2 linked regions of the Styela clava genome follow. The protein of the gene in region 1 binds, or shares a complex with, the protein of each later gene. Links are inferred from orthologs where the notes say so. Each region holds a gene or a part of one and is shown on either strand. Other genes may lie near its edges.

What was found.
Region 2: the proteins of kinesin-associated protein 3-like (region 1) and kinesin-like protein KIF3B are in contact, whole or in part, in a crystal structure (PDB 9IKB), measured with the Caenorhabditis elegans proteins. The link is inferred for Styela clava from reciprocal best matches to the Caenorhabditis elegans genes kap-1 and klp-11. Residues at the interface, in NP_001367739.1 of Caenorhabditis elegans: Pro155, Gln156, Thr159, Ser197, Lys198, Phe199, Ser200, Cys201, His203, Thr263, Asn264, Thr267, Ile269, Lys304, Leu307, Lys308, Ile311, Phe312, Met345, Phe348, Asn349, Phe352, Lys378, Asn381, Tyr384, Leu385, Cys388, Asp390, Lys393, Glu416; in NP_001369897.1 of Caenorhabditis elegans: Phe567, Pro569, Lys644, Arg645, Leu646, Val647, Ala648, Thr649, Pro650, Cys652, Arg653, Arg654, Pro655, Met656, Ser657, Met658, Cys659, Glu660, Ile679, Val686, Glu687, Ala688, Thr689, Ile690, Ile695, Arg696, Phe697, Cys698, Gly699, Glu700.

What each region holds. Positions count from the first base shown.
Region 1 is NC_135254.1:13,151,968-13,159,988, forward strand, and holds the start of kinesin-associated protein 3-like, read right to left. Parts: upstream 3,019-8,021; 5' UTR 2,870-3,018; coding exon 2,838-2,869; intron 2,755-2,837; exon of another isoform or gene 2,648-2,754; intron 1,920-2,647; exon of another isoform or gene 1,919-1,919; coding exon 1,787-1,918; intron 1,024-1,786; exon of another isoform or gene 918-1,023; coding exon of another isoform or gene 916-917; intron 600-915; coding exon of another isoform or gene 459-599; intron 31-458; coding exon 1-30. Other genes in the region: uncharacterized protein LOC120344989, read right to left, coding at 4,832-4,920, 5,129-5,303, 5,387-5,544, 5,658-5,778, 6,216-6,340, 7,355-7,488, 7,782-7,984.
Region 2 is NC_135257.1:5,000,030-5,007,362, forward strand, and holds the start of kinesin-like protein KIF3B, read right to left. Parts: upstream 3,016-7,333; 5' UTR 2,295-3,015; coding exon 2,153-2,294; intron 1,513-2,152; coding exon 1,336-1,512; intron 1,238-1,335; coding exon 1,043-1,237; intron 516-1,042; coding exon 398-515; intron 5-397; coding exon 1-4. Other genes in the region: mitochondrial fission regulator 2-like, read right to left, coding at 6,570-6,692, 6,872-7,082.

The DNA.
Region 1 (8,021 bases):
GTTGTAGAGTTCAAACTCCGCAATCGAATTCTACAAGAAAATTAGGTTGATTAAGGGTCGACCCTTTCAATCATTCATACGTGAGAGCTAATCTCCTACAGCTAGTAAATTTTTTAAAATACGGATATCATGACCTTCTTTATAGAATTATTGAGTAGTGGTTTAAATTCAGGCATCCTCTTTAATATTATACTATTATAACGATTGTAGCAATATTGTTCAGTCAAAATATGACAGGCATCACTCTTACTCTAGAATCATATTTTACTGGTTTTTACAGCTATGGTTAGAAGTAATTTGTATTAAGAGCAGAATTATTTGAAATCTAGTGGAAAAATAATTTAGTTCCTAATCTTCAGCTATTACTTCCTACTTGTTTTAAAAATATCAAAACATTTGACCTTTGAACCTCCACCCAGTAACTGGACTTTACTAACTAGCTAATATAACAATCTCACAGCTTTGTTCCCTGCTTAGTTAAATAATGTTCCAATTCCAATTCTTCATCTTCTCCTAACAAACAATCAAAACTGTAGTGAACAATTAAAGCATCTAAAACTGGATGAACTTCAATATACGTGGAAGCAAATGACGAGTCCCTGGAATAGATAGGTATACACTCAACTAGTACTCGATCAAGATGCTATTTATGAGCTAACCATACCAATCTGAACTGAAATTACTGAAAAAAGCTAGGATGAAAATATCAAAATATGCTATTCTGTTTCTTTCAAAATGATAACTATTTTATTTTTCTGATAATTCTAATTGGAATCGATAGCTAACAATGAGCAGAAAATTGTTGACAGTTTCTCAGTAATCATCTTCTTATTCTACATTACTTGACAACACTGTGTCTGTAATACAATAATGACACACTAAGAGCTGTTTTACTTATAATGATAGAATGCTTACATGATTTTAAAACTCTTCTGAACTACTTAGAAACACGATCCAACTTGGTAATGCTAACTTTCCAAAAAACTGAATCAACAAACTTCACTTTAAAACAAATTGTAGTAACTGCAAAAAGATAATTTTTGATTCATTTGAAAGACCAAAAAGCAGTTTCTACGCACAAGAAAACATATTAAACTGTTTTGCAGTAAAAATTGGCAAATAAATTTCCGTCTGTTAATTTTCCTAGTCACATTTCACTGATATACTCATACAAATACAGAACAATACATATTGTATTTGTGACAGATCTAGACAGAGCTAATTAGCTATCTCCGTAAACTATTGATAAATCATGCCTTATAAGGTTGCTATATGGTTCTCGTATAAAAACAGGGCTTAACTGCTGCAATTGATGCTAAAAACTTATCTAATGCTAAACTAACAACAAGAATGGTAATTATATCAGTATGTAAAGACAATTGAATTACCGGTCCTTTATTGTCACGTTCCTTTATATGATATCTAAGGAGCTACTTTCCGGTTTAATATTTTCTACTCAATATATTACACCCTGGTGGTGAATATGGGATTCGAACCGTATGTTTTTCACTTACTGATTTAACTAATTCTCAGCTTTAAAAAAAAAAACACAGGCATATAAACATGCATTCAAATTCCAGATATACTATAAGCATTATATTGTCGTAAATGATTGTTTATTCTTAGTATAATAAATATGGTATGTTAATATTGAACATATTTTTTTTGGATCCTGGTAATGCCCGAGTTCTGCATATATAAAGGTAGAATTTAGGCCTGTCAAAGTGTTTGGAAAACTATGAAAAAATATAGAAAATAAAATTCTTTAATAATGAAAATTAAATACATTTTTTGAAATTGCTTTCTTTCACCGAGCATAGGATCACCAAGTTCTCCTAATATTGTTGCTTCCACTTCATAATTCACAACAAGTGCTTGTTCAGTTGGGTGAACGTCAATTGCCCCTCCTTTGACCTTGCTGTAAAATAAATACCCAATTCACAAAAGGCACTTTAGAGTGTAAAAATATGTAAATTTCTCAGGGGACAGTACATTTTAATGATGAGCATGACAAAAGCGTTTTCTGTAATTCGTAACTTTTCTAGGGTCAAATCGCCTTATGGATAATGAGATTCCGTAATAATCGCTGAAAGAATCATCGGAATGAACGATCAAAATAATCACTGAGTCCCATCCCGAATACAGAAACAGGGTGAGTGTCAGTGCCACCGCTAGGTTGGCACATTGGCGTTGAATCGTACTTGAATTATCAGTATGAAAATTGACCAGATACAATTATTCTACACCAAACAGCAGGCTTTATGCACTGTATATGATTTAAATCAGAAGTTCACAACACAGGAAAAACGTGCCTAATGTCATAAACTCGAACATGGCATGCCAATGATTTCTTGATTTGGTGAAAATAATTTGTGTATTTCTGTATTTAAGTATATGGAATTCTGAACTAATAATAGCAAATGGTTGAGTAGGTTAAACATGATTTTAAAAACTTTGGCACATGTCTTCATTTAAGATGTGCGCTCATGATTTAAATATTCATTCAATAACCATTTTTTTGGATTTGCAAATGTCTGAGCTGCAGAATGCACTTTTCTGTTTTAAATATAAAAACAAACTTTCATTTCCAGTTCTTGCTCAGAGCCAGCAGGGCAGAATAAACTCTACGTTAAATTAGTAATTTTACCAGTAAATGTTCCACCTCCAGACAACAGCTTACATCCATTCATGCAAAATCATGAATTCCTGACTACATATCTACAATCCCATACCGTACCCGCTGACCGGAAGCGCCCATGGTCTGGTAACTGGGCGAGATACTGAGATACATATTTAAATACCATCCTACCTTTAAAAGCTCACTTATTCTGACTTACCGTTTCAAATATCTCGCATCATCCGTCTGCATGTTCTCACCATAATCTTCAACGAACTCCACAATCGACAGATACAAGCAATATTAAGATAATAATTGAGCGCATACAGACGTAATTATAGCGGTTACACAACCTTTCACCCAAGTTGCGTTAGCGATAGAATGCCGAATTATTTGCGACAGATCAGAAATTCTGAATTACGTTTAAACATTTTTTATTAATTTTTTTTTTTTTATTGTAACTCATACATTTTATTGCAACCAATATTTCTTATAATATTTGAATAAAACAAACAAAAAAATGAGACCCGACAGTAATGTATGTTTACGCGACCCTTGACCCCATAAACATTTTTTCCTTCACTTCGCGCAAGATTTTTCTACGATTATGAAAATCATAGTGATAACATTTTTTTCAATATATTCAAAAAACTGTTTGATGGGTACGGGGAGACAGCCAATCAATTTTGACGCATACCGAGACTGCGGTGGTGTGGCTCGCCACTTTTTCTTCTTCCAGTATACTTTTTAGTTTGTTTTATTTGTATTGTCGGGTAATTTTGTGGTATCAGGAAATCGAAAAAGCTCTTAAAATTTTCTTACAATTTATTCTTGAAACATTACTTCCCGTGCACAAAATCGGCATGCCATTTGTAGTCTTCTTCTAAACTCAAACTTACTCATCATCCCATATTACAAGTGTTAAATGGTAAGCTGTTACTAGTAATGAGGCATTTGTAAGATTATACCTTCGGATTTATTATTACAAATGAATGAGAAGGTTTTATCAATAAAACATGTTAAAATACATAAGATACAAGATATGTAAAGTTACTGGAAGCAATGTGTTAGTAGTAAGCGCATCAGGCAGGAACAGAAACTTAGAAACAATCATACACAGCATTCAAATTGTGCAATGTTATTCAATATCATGAACAGCAATATCAACACCATCGGTAAAAGATAAATACTGTTAGTGTGGCAAGGGAAACTAACATCCTATTCTGAAAATACAATAAAATAAACAGAAAATATAAATCATAAGAAAACAAGCAATTACCCTGGCAATGTTTTCAAATCTCGCATTCAGTTTTTTTGCTATCGATGCCATGTGAAATTATAATAAACAAATTGCCTAAGAAAAAGTATGAAGAACAAACACAATGAATCAGTTATGATATGGCATGTAAAATTGTTGCATTTCAACTAAATACACAATGACACAGGAACATTGAATACGGGCTATGGCACTAAAAAAATCTTATTGATTTTCTAGAAATATATATATATTGCAAAAATCATCACAGAACGACCTATGTTGCACATTGGAAAAAATAGCCCCTAAAAGCATACATGATATATAAACAATTACAAGTACAGGTAACATAAGCAACGATTGTATCTAAAAATCAAAATGCTTCTGTGCAAGTTGAAAAACACGCAGTACTAAAACCAGCAGATCTCAAATAACTCCCAAAAGTATAAGTGTGGTGAAAAAAAAATGGCGAAGAGAAAAATGAAGAATTCACAGATTTGTAAGTGTGATTGTCACAAATACAACATTAGAGACAGGTACACCAACAAAATAGCCACAACACAAATAATGCTTTCAAGTGGCTTCCAGTATCATAAGGCACAATGGTTCAGGGAAGCTTAATCAATAAATCCCACTCACAAACAAATTAAATTCGAAAAATTACAAATCACATTGAAGATCATAAAGAAATTAAATTCCAAATTTAAACTGAAGAAAAGTGCAAAACATAATTGTACAGCAAAAGGCCATTGAAGGACGTTATAACATATAGGAATTTGACAAAATTGAAAAATACTTAAAATATTCTTATATGCTCTTTTTACCACTAAGTAAAAAATCAAATCGATTTGGAAACGAAGGGTGAAACGGATTTATATTTCACTACCACATACTTTTGATCATCTGGCACTATTCAAAGCTTATCAAAAACTATAAAATATTTGATCAAAAAAATTCATCTAGTTGCATAGTAAAAAGTTCACAATCCTGGCGAGGATATAACAATATATAGGTGCTCCCAGTGAGAAAAGTTTGCTAGTGGCAGATCCTGAAAATACAAAATATCAGTAATCTCAACTCATTGAAACAAATCATGTAATTTGAAGTATCTCTTAGTCTTGATTAAATAAGAGCAGTAACTCCCGACCAAACCTAATATGCTAAGAACTGAGTAGAGTAAAATGTAGCTTTCTAAAAGACAGCATTCTTAAGATACAAATATATTATAAACACAAATTTGCATTAGAATAACATACCTGAGTTGGCATAAGTTTGAACATACGAGGATGCGTATGGTAGTCCGTTACCAGCCCTGTTATAAGGAAGAACAGTCGCATAGAATGTTCTGTTTTCCTCAACTTGGATAGTGCATTCACTCTCCTCAAATAGGAATGATAGCTTCTTTTTTGAATCCAAATCTTTCAGTAGCACCTGTGTAACATTATTACTCAAGATAAGAGAATTAGTAGATTTGAAATGAAAAAATAAACTTCACATAAAAAAGCAGAAAATACCTTATAACCTAACAATGGTTCCTCTTCAGCTCTGCCTTCAGGAATATTCCAAGATCCATGTATAATCGATCCAGTAACTGTGAAATGAACATTTGTGAGAGGGTACCGTGGAGGCAACTTCCAAGTATGGTGATCAATCGAAGTTGATGTGCTCTTCCCTTTAATAAAAATTTCCTTATTAATGAATTTAATGACAGAGTTCTACTTACAATTTCATATTAAAAATAAATGCATCAGTGTATACAGAAAATATATATATATAGATTCTTACCCGACTTGTTTGCAGCTATCACTACAATTTTATACTTGGTATCTGGTTCTAAATCTTTAACGTCCAAAGCAGGTGGTTTAACTTCATAAAATTGCGAGCTGCCCTTAGATGTTAATATCACCTGAAAGTTTGAAAATTAAATGAATTTCATACAGATATTATAATATAATAATATTTATGTGTGCAATGGCCTAGCAGTTAAAGCCTTAGAGCAGTATTTCCCAAACTTTTTCGTTGAATTCCTTCCTTCTTCGTTTTAGTAACTTTATTCCTTCCTCAGTACGCATATAGACTCATTTCTTAAACTTTATTATTGTATCCTTAGCTAATGTTATGCGAAAGTCGCCCGTTTTTGAACAAAAATATAGAATATTAGTAATACTACAACGAACACAAATGAAAATTCCAACCCAATAGAATTCCTACCCAGCTGGAAAACGTTAGAAGATATCGGTGATTACTTCTGTGTGGCTTTGCTCGGAGCGTAATGTGTGAATAAGCAATGCAGAAAAAATCTAGGTCGACAAGACACTCGTACCACTATTATATGTTATATACCTCATAATGCTCAGCATTTTCAGAACCGTTCCATGTCACAAGGACAGATGATTTCCGGGAAGGAAATTTAGAATATAAATTTTCACAGATCAGATTTTCGATAGCATACGGTGGTGTCAGATTTTCTGAAACGAATACGATGAGTACAATAACAAGTGTGTAATGTATAGATGTCGGTGGCTGACCGAGTTTTTTCATATTGCCATAATGAAATATAGGGGCTCCCGAAGTATGCGAACCAAGATGGCGGACATCGGAATGTAATATGTGTACTAGGTTAGGGTTAGGCCATAATTTTAGGTATAAATACTACGAGAGGCTCTTGGCTAGTCTTCGAACTGATAATAGGACTAAAATAAGAAAAATTGGATAAAAATTATCGCCTAACCCTAACCTGTTACCCATGTTACGTTCCGATGTCCGCCATCTTGGTTCGCATACTTCGGGAGCACCGAAATATATTTGTAACTGAATAGCAACACATACAGCATTGATCATACAGTAGTGTACATCCTTTCACCCTCTTACCAAGGCGGGTGAATATGAAAGTTACCCCCTAGCCAAGTGAACTGCCTGCAAGATTTATTCACAAATTCAGGAAGTAATACAAGAATATAATAATGTCATAGGAAATAATATCAACAACTTATATGGAGCTCGACAATTATATGAATGAACAGTGAATAAACATTGAAATATATCAACGAGAAAACAGAAACAATATATGGTATCTATTCATATCAGTGATCACACATTTTGGTAATTTGCATTTTAAAATGTCGGGATTAAGTAATCAGAAAGTCTGTACAAATGAGAGGCCACTCCACTCAGAAATTAAGTCCATATATACATCGCTATTCTTAAATTTAATGAAAAATTGTTCCATTTGTTATTCAAATCATGGAAGCCAGGCACAATTAAAAGTTATATGCAGTCATGATAAGATGACATAGCCTGCCCTGGGTCATTCTTATTCTGTAAGATTTTTTTAAAGAGGGATAAATCTACTTTTCTCTCCAAGATCCATGTTTATTTTAATAAGATAATTGGTTATATTTTTTATAAGTATGTGCTGTTTATTACTTGAGTAGAACCAAATTGGTGACATTCAAGAATTAGCTAATCATAACAATACTTACCAATAATTGGCTGTGCTGTTGTCACTGGGGCAGTCATGTTGTCTTGTGTTGCAGGGGTCTTTATGTCATCAGGTTCATCTCCTGGTGGATTCAATATAGCAGGAGGTTGTGAGCCGCCACCTTCAGCAACATTCCTATGAAATGAAAATTGGTAAATCCTGAAATTGACATTGTTTGGATTTTTCATGATGATAATCCAAGTCAAAAATTCGGAAAGAAACAGGCAAACAGCACATAGTATTGACTATTGAGTTAACACAGCACAAGCTTTTGTTAATAAAGTTTCTTTTTTTTCAATCTGGAGTCGGTAGTTGTTTATTGGATGGCACAGAGTTTAATATCGAAATAGAAAATTTTATCTCTCGGTCCCGTTTTAGTTCACAGCAATAAAAAATTTATTCGATAACAATCATTTAGTCGAACTTACTGGGGAGCTTTTCGTACTGGTTGGCAACCTGAATCAATGTTTGGCTCCTCGGTTATTCCTGATGACGAACAAGAAGTACACCCCATTTTATGCCAGTATCTATACTCGTGGAACCATCCGCGGCAACACAGAAGGCATTCCATTTCATTGGTGCTATTGATCATGTAAATTCCTTGTTTTCCATGACTATTGACGCAATAAACCTGTTAAAACATAACAATTCTGAATAGGATTTTCTAT
Region 2 (7,333 bases), on another chromosome or scaffold:
TGAACTAGAAGCAATATCAGTAAATAAATATCATAACATATATTGTAATGTTCACAAGAATCCAGCTTGAATTTGATTCCAAAGTTAAGAATTTTCCATTACTGCAATACTATCTAGTTGACAATATCAATAAAATTTAATCAAGTTATAAATAATTTCTCGCCATGTTATTTTAAATACAAATACAATGTAACATAATGCATTTTAGTAAATAATAAATTGCATTAGATTCTGAGTTATGGTAATTATACGATGCAAAGTGTAGTTGAAAAACATATCCCTTAAATAGATACAATTATCAGTATTCTGCACTGTCAATACAGCTAAATATGTTTTGAATGTCATGAAAAGTTGTTTTGATTTATTATAATGAAAAGAAGTCATCAACTTTATATACCTATGTTCATTCATGTTAGTTGCACCAACAGATCTGTTTTGATTTCCAACATTCATAACATGTTCAATTTCTTTTACTGATTTAGTAACGAATGACAGAAGATCCTTCACATAAATGCCTGAAAAACAAACATAATACCGTAACTTACACTTCATGAAAAAATGTATTTCCACTGAAATTGTTATCACTTTACTAAGTAGCTTGTAAACCATAGCATGGAGTGGTCATAAGCAGTCAAATAATGCCATTCAAGATAACAGTCAATTGCAATATTGTTTCTATCCCCTAATTATTTGTGAACAGTGAAAATAATTACACTAATGACTGATTTTCGGAGTTTGTTTTAAATTTAAAAATCGGGCTTTAATATTTAAAAAAATTAAAATAAAAATCAAATTTGCAAAGCATTGAAGCCAAAACATACACATACGAAGTAGATAATCAATAAGTTCTACACTGTTGAGAAGTATATATGGATCTGGAGTTCTGAACATAGCATTATTTTTTTAATGATGAATTTGCTTGCTGAGAATTATGATAACTATTTAAGATATACAGGGTGTCCCAAAATAAATGAAACTCACAAAATTGGTAATCAAATTAATGGGTTTCATTTATTTTAGGACACCCTGTATTTAAACAAACCTGTGTCTGGTCTTTCTTTTAATTCCAGTCGTTTTGATTGATCTTTCGCTAAAAGATCACGAATTTCCTCTTGATAAATCTCAAGATAGGATGCTCTGACAAGATATTCTTGATCTTTAGTTCTCGCAATGTGAGTGAAAATATGATCAAATGAACGAGGAATGACTCCACGAAGCGCAGGATCATTTCGAACACCTGTTAACCAAAAATGAACAAGATAAATAACCAATAAAACAAGAATACAACGAAAAAATTCAAAATGGTTCACCATAAAAATTACAGCATAATCGAACCTTCCATTGTGTAAGTTTTTCCTGTCCCAGTTTGTCCATAGGCAAATATAGTGCCATTGAACCCTCCAAGAACAGAATCAATCAAAACTCGAAAAGTTTCTTCAAAAAGATCTGTTTGCTCTGAATTCCAATCATATACGGCATCGAATGTGAAACTCCTCTCTGCTTCACCAGTCGCTGTAATAGCATAAATGGTCAAATAAAATTCTTGATGTATTTTAAACATACAAACAGTATTTGATGTTCATGTATGAAAACTATAATTGCAATGACTGTATCAGTTAATATGAATTTTGAGTATATCAATCATGAGTTAGTACACAATGAGATGGTTTGAACATGATATCTTCGGGTAGAGCTAGTGAAATCAAAATCTGGGGCGTTTATATTGTTATTTTGTTGCTTTTGAAAGAATTTTTTCATGTTTCGCAAAAAGGTAGCGGGCAAGTATTGAATTGAGTGATCAAACTTACAAAACCCTTTCCTCATTTTATTAAAATGAAGTGACATAATTCGTCTAATCGCAACTCCAAAATGTGGAACAATGATTTACATAAGAGTCACAAATTAACCAGAGATCCAATAGGCTGGATCAAATTTACTGTACGTGCGATGACTATGTACAATGGGATAGCTATCCAGTAAAAAGGCAATTCATCTGTTGTTTTTTTTCTTCTTTCTGACCATTATTTTTTCATACCATATCCGAAGACCAAGACTAAAGGACAATGGATAGTTGTGCATACGGTCATAAAAATAGCCCAATACATAGATATGAAAAATAACATAAGATTCATCTTCTAAAATCATCTGTTACCCTTTGGATTTTTTATTAAAATCTGTCCAGATTTCACATCCATGTTCACAACCCTGTCATGATTTGCTGCAATTTCTTTTTGATTAAGAGGACGACATCGAACTACGACTTTAACACTTTCTGCACCCTTTGATTTTGACATTTTACTTTAGATTATCCACTATGGCAGTACCATATAGCCTGAAAATGTGGTAATTAAAAAGTTATATTGTTGGTTTATATAGAAAATCTGGGGCCTTGTGTAGTTTAGTACCACATGCACTTCTAGTTGGCCTGGCTCAACAATTTTTGCATGTCAGAAAAAAAACGGACAATTTTTCCATGTCGCCAACTACCCATTGTCTCTTTAAAAAAGCTTGAAAATCCATACAAATATAAAAGATAAAAAGATGAAACTTGGCAGGTGAATAGAGTTGTGTTTCTTTTAACCATCTTTCGCGTTTCTACATTTAAAAGAGGGATAATAGGGGGGGGGGGGGACGCATTTCCATTTTCCAATACGTCGATAATATCTTCGTTGACCAATTTGTGACCACCGTGTTTTTGTCTGTTTGATTGTTGTGATGCGGTGCTTTGTTTAGAATTTGACGCGTTTTGTTCGAAATAACCATGTTCTTAAAATATATGACAGTCAGAAATGCATTTAGAAGCCCAATTTTTTCACGCATGGCTGCGTATGATCTAGTCTCGATGCAGCAGAATCGATTTTCAATGCTTGAAATCCGTGGTTGCACGCCGGTCGTTCAGTCGCAAATTCGTCTCCCGAGTGTCGTACTTTGGTGGCTTGTATAGCTTTAACCACTGATCGTAGAAAGTTAATTCAAAGTTTAGCGCGCAGAATAAATGCCAATGCACCTACGGTGAAAAAATTATCGGGTTAGAAATATTGGTTTTTGTTTTATATCAGTAGCGGTTTGAATGAAATCGTCCGCAGACTGGCTACACCACCCTATGCAAAAATAGTTATGCTACGCCGCGATTATGCTACAAGTACATGTGGTACTGAACTACACTAGACCCAAAAATCTGTGGCTGTTCATACAGAGCCTTGTTCAGAGCAAAGGCATGATGCCAGTACATTATTATCTGTCAGCATAAATATGTTGAACATCTGAGAATTCAGTGCATTAAAATGGTGATTTAGTTAACAACCATACCAGCACTCTTGTACTTAGCATACTTGGAGAGAGAATCAACATCTGGGTAGGGGTACCACTGCACATTACAGCATCATTAGTCATTAGCACAAGGATTTGCATTACTGCACTCTTCCCTAAATATTGACATAAATTATGTACGTTAACGTAAACAAACATATACATCGATAAACAAGCCTTTACATGTGTTGATACTCTTCTATATTCCCCCACTGTAGCACTGATTGACGGGATATCAATACAGTAATACCGTACTAAATCCCCTGCACCTGTATACTTTCCAGCAAAGCATCGACAGATGGCGTCCCTTCACTATAATTCAGGTTATTTCGAGCGGTTCTGATCAGCCATAAACGGTTTCAATTAAAAGTTTCAGCGCAGACCTGCGTAGACTGTAGATCGATTGTAAATTTATTCTTAACTAATTTGAAATTATTTTAAAATGAAAACGCACAAATCAAACACACAGTATTATCAGTTTGGTCGTCGAAATAGGAGATCAAATTCTCGAAAATATTGCGGCATGAGAGAGAAAGAAATATTTATTTTCACATCAATGTAAAAAAAATCGAACCTAGACTCGCCGGTGTACGGTAACGCATCGTGATTCGTGATAAGCAGATTTCAGTATAGAAGAGTATCACCTGTAAATATTGTTGAAAAAAATAAACGCAAACGGCAAATCATTTATAATATCATCAAAATAAAAGCGGGAAAAGAGTTGAACCTGTGTTATCCTGCATAAATGCAATCCACTTCATCCCATTTCGAAAAAATATCGAGCGGGGTGGACAATATTCTCATACGTGGTCAAATTTTCCCTCTTTTTAAGTTTTTGTCACCGGATATCGATTCTCAACCTGGCTATATTAAAACTGAAGTATTCCAGGATCAAATTCTTTGGCCGACAAGTTTTGATCATAATTTGTTATGCCGAAACTAATGTTACCAGATAAAATATCTGATTTTAGGATCAAACAAATTTAGTTTTCTGTGTCTATGAAATATAATATATTTATGTTATATAAAATAGATCTCAGCATCGCAAAAATATTAATAATACCTAATTATGAAATTTATGCATTAGGTCAAACCTTTCTATGAAAGGTCAAATTAAAGCAGGGGTGTGCTGTTCAACCTTTTTCACAGGCGGGCCAAATTTCAATTACTGAGGAAAAGCGCGGGCCGCTCCTTCATTTGACATAGGCTTTCTATTAGTTGCAGGCACAAAATAGTGTCTTTTTGTTATTGATCTCGTGTCGTCATCATTAGGGGTCCTTGCAGAAAACGCATATATTTTGCGTTAATCAACTGATAGGCTGGAACCAAAACTCATTTAGCTTCTGTATCTTCCAATATTAAATTTTTTTAAACTGCTTTCCAGTTGCCCAATATTCAATTGCTCGTTCTTACAAATTCATTAGCGTCTGCTCCGCATTTTCCTTTCAATTGTTCGCTGCTCGGCAAGTGGCAGCTTTGTCAATCGCGTTGTTAGGACGTTGTAACGTCATAGGCATAGATAATAAGTTAGACTCGAATATAGCTTTGTAACGCAAATGGAACCAGCTCAAACTAAATTAAAAACCAGCTTGGATGGCCGCACACCATTCTAAATTGGCACTTCTCCGCAGGCCGCACAATTTTCCCTCACGGGCCGCACTTTACACACCACTGAATTAAAGCATACTTCATCGTAATCGTACAATGTCTCAATGCACAGGCCATCTCCACGACACGCTATGCAAACTTTTTCGTGCCCGCCACGCTAATAAATTCAACATTTTGCAGCGTAAGGTAATATATAAATAATAAAAACGATAATGTCGACGTTTTCTAACAAACTTAGTGAAGGAAGTTACCTGATAAATTTGTAATTTGAATAAAACTATACTGGAATTCATTGGATGTCGCACTGACTATTTTACAATGTTTTGTAAACCTGAACGTTCCAGCGCGCTGTATTCTCCCTATACCAATCCTTACAAGATACCGGGTTCCTGGCTATATCCGCGATGTCCCGTTTGAATGGTTTTGTCGGCTATATGTGAACTGGTCCCTGAAGGCCGCGCCACTACTAAATTGACCATGTGCGATCCAAATAACTCCAACTAAAACAGCAAATGGTTTAAAAAAAAGTTACCAATATCTTATATTCTACAACGAAACATGCGCCTTTGTCCCTTCCAGTTTCTTAATTTCAATAAAAGCGGGCTGGCTGCACACATACTTCATCAAAGCCAAAAACACATCCTTACACAAACATTAATCTCGTAGCAAAACACTTTCATTTGCATGTTCGGAGTATACAGTTCAAATGTCACAGACAGAATAAAATCAAAACTATATAGCAGACATAAAAGTTTCAATTGATAGGCATCATGTTTGATGCAGGAACACAAGGCAATGAGACCTGAATCTGGGCCAGACTTGTAAACTGGACATGGTTCATTCTATGGGCAAGGATTGAAGTATTTTTTTTCTATTTTGTGCCGCATTTACTGCCCTAATGATTTGCCCCAATAGCATAACATGGGGGTTTATGAGCATTAGGAATAGGTAAATTGATTCTGAATACGATGCACATGCCAATTTCAGTAGTGTCGGTAAATTGGCTCATCCTTTTCATGGAGAAAATGAAAGCAACAGACGAATAGCACCAGGGAAGGCAGAGGTACGAGAGAATAAAGAAAAACTAAAGCGATGGAAGAGGAACATTGATAAAAAAAATGAGAGCTATCGATAATTTTTTTTAAATATTGCCAGCACTGCAAGAGTGAGTATAAGGTTAGTAAACTGTACTAAATCCGGTTCTGGTTTTGAAGATTCAATTTCAGTCCAATAAAAAGTAACTGAAGATAGCAAGGCAAGAAATTGTAAAATCGCATAAAATTCTAAAATGAAAGTAATGACAGGCAGTACTGAGACCAGACACAAAAATGTACGATTATTTTGAATGGTTATAAAAGACCAAATAGCATGTGTCATGGGTGTAGCACTGACAACAAAAATGATAAACCATTAGCACCAAAATTATCTCATGTAGTTCGTAGTAAAAAGGTACATGAAAAAAGCCGATTAGGCAAACATGAAATCAGAAATATATGTCTGGTATATTCCCATTTTAAATCGTTCAGATGAATTATACAATAAATGAACTTAGATAAAAAGTACAATAGCACGCAGAATAAAACAGAAAAAATTCGAAAGCAATTCATGCAAATAAACTCGGTTATTCATGAACAACTATAATAAAATTCTGATCAAGATTGTGGGTTAACATTTTCCAAATCTCTTCTTTTCTTTAAAAAAGTTGGAAGCTCTGGTTTAGGCGTAGTTGTGGGTGCTGGTGAAGTGTTGCGTCTTTTTAAAAGGTGCTGACCAAACTGAAAAACGTATTTAACAATCTAACCCATGTTCATCGTCATTGACTGTCGGGGTAATGTTTACCAAGCATGATGAAATCCTGGGCTATCGTATTAATATACAAAGAACCATATTTTATGAATTGTTATGGAAATTTACTACATTAAATAAGCCTAAATCATTAATCTGATGAACTTACTTTTGGAGTTTGATTAGGACTTGGAAAACCTTTGACTGGTGTTAAATTATTTGTTTCAAATGAGTCATCAACTTCATCTGACTTGGGTGAATCAAAATTTTTTCTGTGCGCAAATTTTTTCTTCAATGCTGCAGCAATCAATGAAGCTGGATCCCCAGCTACCACTTCTAAATCATCTTTTTTCTTGTTAAATGGAGTTCCACCAGGTGATCTAGTATGAAAAACAATATTTACCAGCTCGTCAAAAAAATATACAAAACCTATGGGATAAAAATTAGGACACATTTGGGTAAAATTCACAGTAGTGCATGAACAATATTATTAATTTGCCACCAAAGACAACACTCGAAGTACAACACGAATTATTCATGAATGTTTGCTCAAACTAAAGTCCTATGGAGTCAGACTCACTATGAAGGGAATAAAATGAACGAATACCAACTACAGTTGCAAACTACAGAT